2 linked regions of the Macaca mulatta genome follow. The protein of the gene in region 1 purifies or fractionates together with the protein of each later gene. This does not show direct contact. Links are inferred from orthologs where the notes say so. Each region holds a gene or a part of one and is shown on either strand. Other genes may lie near its edges.

The links.
Region 2: the proteins of DBF4B (region 1) and CDC7 purify together in Homo sapiens (affinity purification with mass spectrometry; 3 studies listed by BioGRID and IntAct, counting the BioPlex papers as one, with this or other methods). This does not show direct contact. The link is inferred for Macaca mulatta from reciprocal best matches to the Homo sapiens genes DBF4B and CDC7.

The regions. Positions count from the first base shown.
Region 1 is NC_133421.1:69,119,958-69,122,435, forward strand, and holds part of DBF4B (protein DBF4 homolog B), read left to right. Parts: intron 1-521; coding exon 522-630; intron 631-831; coding exon 832-956; intron 957-1,310; coding exon of another isoform or gene 1,311-1,548; exon of another isoform or gene 1,549-1,786; coding exon 1,787-2,478. UniProt on the Homo sapiens protein: Regulatory subunit for CDC7 which activates its kinase activity thereby playing a central role in DNA replication and cell proliferation. Required for progression of S and M phases.
Region 2 is NC_133406.1:148,808,721-148,813,160, reverse strand, and holds the start of CDC7 (cell division cycle 7-related protein kinase), read left to right. Parts: upstream 1-1,337; 5' UTR 1,338-1,364; exon of another isoform or gene 1,365-1,435; intron 1,436-2,139; exon of another isoform or gene 2,140-2,173; 5' UTR 2,174-2,202; coding exon 2,203-2,317; intron 2,318-4,440. UniProt on the Homo sapiens protein: Kinase involved in initiation of DNA replication. Phosphorylates critical substrates that regulate the G1/S phase transition and initiation of DNA replication, such as MCM proteins and CLASPIN.

The sequences.
Region 1 (2,478 bases):
CACGCCTATAATCCAAGCACTTTGGGAGGCCAAGGCAGGCAGATCACCTGAGGTCAGGAGTTCGAGACCAGCCTGGCCAACATGGTGAAACCCTATCTATACTGAAAATACAAAAATTAGCTGGGCGTGGTGGTGTGTGCCTGTAATCCCAGCTATTCGGGAGGCTGAGGCAGGAGAATGGCTTGAGCCCAGGAGGCGAAAGGTTGCGGTGAGCCGAGATCACACCAATGCACTCCAGCCTGGGTGACTAAGCTAGACTCTGTCTAAAAAAAAAAGAGAAGGACAGAGATAAGACAGGCTGCCCACAGGGAGGTCTCCAGATGTCTTCTTCCTTGTTCCTCTCTTGCCGTTCTTAGATGATTGGTACCAAGCTCAGGGAAGGCCCACCTTCTGGTGCCTGCCCAGCCCCTTGGCCGTCTCAGTCCTTCCCCTCCTTGACCTAGGCTCCAGGCCCTAAGTAGTGGCTCCTCCCCCAAGGGACCCAGCAGTAACCACTTTGCTGCACTATGTACCCTCCCCAGAGAATCCAAGGATGGAGAGCCAAGCCTGCGATCAGCTGCCCGCACCATGCCCAGGAGGAAGAAAGGCTACTGCGAGTGCTGCCAAGAGGCCTTCGAGGAGCTCCATGTGGTGAGCCCCTTCCCCGCTAAGCAGCTGCTCCCAGAGTGCCTTGAGGGATCCTGCTCACTGGGGATGAGTCCTTCCTGTGCAATCTCCACGCTGCTGTGGCTGTGTCCTCCAGGGCCATAGCATGGGCTGGGAGGTCAGCTTCCATGTCCCCCTCCCCCCAGGCCTCATGTAATGCCCTGTCCTCCTCTCGCCCCCCGGCAGCATCTTCAGAGTGCCCAGCACCAGGGCTTTGCCCTAGAAGCCCATCCATATGCAGAAGTGGACAGGATCATTGCCCAGCTCAGCCACAGCTTTGTAGACATCCCTTTCCAGGCCGGCCTCCCCAGGTGAGTGCCATGCTGGCAGGCATAACTGCGTCTGCACTCTCCTCTGTTGCCCTCTGGGTGGGAAGAGACCCTCAGGTTGGTGGCTGCTGGGACCAGACTGTGATGTTTTCCTCTTTTCTCACCTTCCTTTCCCCTCATCCTCAGTCCTGTTTGTTTTGGGGGTGGCCAAAAAAAAATTAAAAGACCTCCATTTGTGGCCTCAGTTGATGAAGACTAGACCCAGACCAGACTGTGGCTCCCTTCCTACCCCACGGGCTTTGATGTGGATGATAAGCAATTCCGGCCAGGGAGCAGGGGGGTAGTTCTCGGGCCTCTCCTAGATAGGTGAAGAGTAAAGTCTTTCTCCCTCTGTAGAAGTCACCACCAGAAGGAAGGACTGCATGGGGTTTGGTGGGAATTCCAGGGCCCTCTGAGCTCCGCTTCCCCTTGCTGCCAGCAAGGCAGACCCTCTCCCATCTGGAGCTATGGCTTCACCTCTCACCCCAAATCTCCACCTCAAGCTCAACTCACACAGCCAGGAACTGCACTGCTTTCTTCAGCTGCCAAAGGGCACAGCCTCCTCTGTGAAGTCATGAAATGGAATAGCCTCTAACGTATTCCTCTGGCCAGCCCCAACCACAGGCCACAGAGCCAAGAGAAGTGCACACAGTGCTAACTGCTGCGGCAGGTTCAGACCCAAACAGGAGGACTTTCACACAGGGCCTCAGAGAAGGCAGCCATCTCGGCACATGAACCGCCAGCTGTGGCGGCTCTCCCTGTGCCCTCAGCCCTGGCCCAGGCCTGCTGTGAAGTTGAAACCTGCAGCTCACTGGGTGTTTCTGTCTCAACAGGTGGTCAGGTTCCCCAGCTTCTGACTGTGACCCTCTCTGTCCTAAGACTCTGCACCCCCGCCAGCCCTCCCATCCCAGGGCAGCATCTCCCAGGATAAGGAAGGAAGACAGCTGCCAGGTGTCAGGTGTCCCAAAGCAGGATGGGACAGTGAACAGCACGCAGGCACCAGCTGAACGTGCAGGGACTGGTGAGGTACCTGAACCTATAGCAACCTGCCAGGACCTGAGGGGATTAGTTGATGTGTTTATGGACACCCCAGAGACACTGGTGTCTAGGAACCCTGCTTGCCAACGCCTGCTGCCTAGCTCTGGTTTTATGGAACTCTCCTCTGGCCTAGACCTGGCACTTGTTGGCCACAAGCGCAAGGTTCAGTTCCCCAGTGGCAATGCTGAGAAGAGAGTGGGGGCCTCTTGGCCACAGGCTTCATTTTTTGTCCCAATAGCACCCAACCCCTGTGGCACCAGCACAACCGGTGGCAAGCATCTTCCCTGTCTTCCCCTTCCAGGCCATGAGTCCAGGCTCCTCACCTCTCTCCAGCCCTTGTGCCACTCACAGACCTGCCTCTCTCTCCCAGACCCCTTCCCCTGGCAGCCCACAGACAGACCAGGAGAGTTCTGGGCCACACAGCCCCACTGGCCGGGGGAAGGATGGCCCCCAGGGCCTGAGGATTCTGAGTGTGCAACCCCTGGCC
Region 2 (4,440 bases), on another chromosome or scaffold:
CAAAGCAACGGCAAGCCAAGCTGGTAGTACCAGGCCATCTCCTGGATGTCACGGTCTGCTTTTCTCTTTCTCAGTATCCACACTAGAATTCTTGATTTACTCTCTTCCACCTCACTCAATCAAAACCCATTACCTCACAGACTTCCCTTCTCTGTGGCACTACCACCCACACATATGCTAGCCCCAAAACCTAAGATTCACTCTTGATGATGCCCTTTTCTTAATTTTCCACAGCCAATCACCAAATCCCATTGTCTTCTTTCTTTTATTTCTTCCGCCATTGTTCTGGTCCAAACTACCATTATCTTTCTCCTAAACATGAAGTGCATCCTATTTCCTCTGCTTCCACATTTGCCCCTCTATAATCCATTCTCTTCATAACACATAGATCGTATCACTCCCTTGCTTTAAAACTTTCAAATAGCTTCCTATTGTACTCAAAATAAAAGCCAAACTTCTTACCCTGGCTTTCAAGGACCACGGTCTGGCTTCTGCCTAACTCTCCACCCTCATCTATCTGGGACTATCTTGCCGCTCACTCACTATGCTTCCCCCACACTGGCCTTTCCTGCCCTGCCCCTGCAACATACCAAGTTCCTTTCTCTCTGCATTTGCCCTGTCCTTTCTTTGCCAGAACAGTAGTCTCCCTGCCAGCTCTTTCTCATCCAGGTCTCTTTGAGAGGGCTTCCCTGACCATCTAGATGCCACCTTTCTAGGTACTATCACATCTTTTCATTTTATTTCCTTCAAGTAGTAATCAATACCGGAAAGAATACTGTTCATGTATTCATCCGTTATTGTCATCGCTTCATTGGAATTTAGCTTCCTACAGGGATGGTGTTTGTCTTGCTCACTATGATTTCAGCCCCTAGAAATCCGCCTACCTCAGAGCCAAGGACTCAGTAAACAGTATACACTGCCTTCCTGCCACTGTGCTAATTTCTACTAACACAGTCACAAATAATCAGCATTTTCTGCTTGTTTTTAACGTAAAGTAGGGCACTCAATGAAAAGGAAATAAAAGGAGAGTCAAGAAAGTGCCTTCTATCCATGGAGTACCCAAGTGTTGTGCGGCCACGGTATATAGGGATGTGTCAGCACCTGAGGTGTTTCCTTCTCTGAGCTAGTTTCTTTCCTGGAAATCATGTTGGGCCCTTAGCCTTATGGTTCACCCTGTTTTTTAAGATCATCCCGGGGTTTCATTCCCGTAACCGCTCTTCCAGCTGGCCAAGGGGGCGGGAAGAAATCCCAGCCTCTTGCGCAAGCGCCCAGTAGCGGAATCCGCTGGGTCGAGGGCTTTAGTGTGCGCATGTGCAACGAGAGCTGCGGCGGGAAGTGTTGCGCAGGCGCATCCGATCCACTCGGTAGGTGGGGAGCTCTTGGAGACGGCGACCCAGGCATCTGGGGAGCCCCAGAAGTCGTACTCCCTTAAACCGTGAGTTTCAGACGGTTTGTTCCGTGGCGCGGGATTGTGAGGGATTAGGAACGAATTCTGGATGGTGACTTCGGTTTTCTCGCCGTGCAGTTCCTTTCCCCGCCCCCCTTCGGATCCCTCCGACCTGCGGCGGGAAAGTCGCGCGCCTGCGTACTAAGCATCTGGTTCGGTCTCTGGCCCGAGGGAAGCCGGTCTTTTCCGGCTGACCTCGCGGCCAGGGCTGGTCGGAGGATTCCCATTCATTAAGCCATCTCCTCCTCCGCCCAGTACTCGTAGCCAGGGTCGTATCAGTTCTCCATCAACTTGCGTGGGGCCTTGGACGAGCTTCCTGGCGCTCCCTGTCAGTGGCGAAACGGTTTTCTCCCTCTGTCCTTTTCCTGACTTCAAACCGCCCCCGGCGCTCGGCCCCTCCCCCACGCGGTCCCGCAGGCTACGCCGGACTCGCAGCCTCGCCGTTTCCCACTGCGCCGGCTGCTGCGCGGGTACCCAAGCCGGGAAATTCTCCCTGCAGCCCCCTGCCGGCGTTTCTGATAGGTGAAAATAAAGCACATGGAATTCCTTAGAAAAGGCCACAGTATGCCCTACTGTGGAGGTTTGGACACATGGTGCATTTGAAAATGTTTGCCCCTTTGGGGGCAGTGGCATGTTTTTAGTGCGTGGTTTAGCGAGTGATCTAAACTTCTCCAGTGTTCTAATTTTTACAGCTGCTTTGCTTTCCCTGTGGATGTAACCCCTTAGCTGGCATTTTGCATCCCAATTGTCTTGTGATGGAGGCGTCTTTGGGGATTCAAATGGATGAGCCAATGGCTTTTTCTCCCCAGCGTGACCGGTCTCAGGCTGAAGGCTCTCTAAAAAAAAACGAGCAGAATTTTAAACTTGCAGGTATGTGTTTAATTCCAAAGATGTACAGTTGCAGAGATTTTTCAGGCAACAATTCTGTGTTTTCAGTTGCTCTCAAAAAATAAGTAGATTGAATCTTAAAGTGAGTTGTGTGTTTCTGTAGGACAGTGTTTTAAAACAGAGCTTCATACGATCTAAATGTAGGACTGAATTGCAATTTGGAAGACTGTAATACAACCCGTTTTACGGTTGAAGTTGTTATGGTCATCAATATTGGTAACTAAGAATGCAGAAGTTTGATGATGCCCAAATTAAATTTCTCTTCTCTACCTGTGTTCTTGTCTCTACTCACCACATTGCCTTAAGCTTAAATTTAGAAATTGACACTGGAGATCATCACTTAAGTATTCAAAAGCAGAACTCACAGAGAAAAAAATATGAAATGTTTGTAGCAATAATAAAGCACCATATCTCAGTGTAGAGCATGAAATGTTGTTTGGCCGTAAACCAGACCTTGGGGTGAAGAGGACAGGGTCAAGCAGTGCGTGCTTTTGTACACTCGCATGTGTGCTTTCATTTCTGCTCTGGCACAGGACCTGGGACATAGTAGGTATTTATTAATAATAAATATTTGTTAAATAGAGGAATTCTAGTTGACTGTATTTGTTTTCCTGAAAGGGTAGCCAGATCTTTTCCATCTTTGTCTGAAGTGAATTCTGTGCTTGTCCAAAAGATACTTATTTTGACCTTTTGTCCATATATTCTTTATAACCCCACCCTAGAAAAATATGACATCACATACTTTCTGCTTTGATGGAAGTCATTTATCCCAGTTACCTAAACTTGAAACTTTAATCTTCAGCTGATGCTTTTTATTTGTTCCCCATATCGTCACCTAGCTTTATCTCTTTTTAATAGGTATGGCATTGTGTCTTCTTTCCATTCCCATTTCCACCACATTAATTCATTTCCTTACACTTTGTTCCTGATTTACAACAGTTTCTCACCTATGCTGCCTGCTTGCACTTTTCCATCCTTCAGTTCATCTGGTACGTTGGTGCTAGAATAATCTTAAAATGCCACTTTCATCCAGTTTCGTGGATACTGTTCCTCTTCCTTTCCATTTTTCCAGCAGTTAGCTGTTTTTTTAGTTCATCTTTCCCTTACTAGTCATTGGACACATAACACAGTAACACAGTCATTGTAGTATTCTTTTTCTATCGCTTAGGATTCTGCATTTTGTCTCCACTGTAAGCCCCTTGGTGGCAGTATCTCCTCTGGCTTCTGAAGTATGTTGTGACTTCAGCAGAGTATCTGAATGGATGACTCTGACTTGGTTCTGGCATCTTGTTTAGGAGAATGCCACTATTCTAATATTCTGAAAATCTGCTGGGAAGTAAAGAATGGGGTGAATTTTATTCCAGATTTCAAAAGTTTTGTAGCGTTTATGTAACAGAATATTGGACATTATAAATAATACGATAAATTGTAAAACATGCTAAAACTTTACTCTTGCAGCTCTTTTTAAAATATGATCCTTAATAACAGCTAAAATTATATAAACATAACTTCAATGGGGAGTAAAGCTGATGAGGTCCAGGCACGTAACAGTCTCGTAATCTAATTGGGAAAGTAAATCAAATTAGATCATAAGACAGGTATATCCCTGTACCTTATCAGCTTTACTCCTTATTGAAGTTATATTTTTGATTGGATGTTTTATATATCTTTGCATTCCCAGAGCTTAACAGTGTCCAGCACATAGTAGGTGCTTGAAAATATTTGAATGAATGATTTAATGTAAGGATATAAAGTAAAATACTTAGTGTAATGGATGAATAGCATGTCTCTTTATTTTGAGATATTTGTAAGATTTTTTATAACATTTTTCTGATAAACATGATTATTGAAAGTTTTGAAGTAAAGAAAGCCAAAATAAAGTCTTTGCATTATTGAAATATTGCCTGAACCGGAGTATGAGATCTTATTTCTGATCTCCATTTTTTGTTTAATATATATCTTGAATATTGCTGATGTAGTAAATATTCTACAACTGGATTTAAGGTCCATTGTATATTATATTTAATCACCTTTTACTGTTGACCCTATAGATTGTTTCTATTTTTTCCTATTAAGAAAAATGCTATAATGCACAAACTATCTGG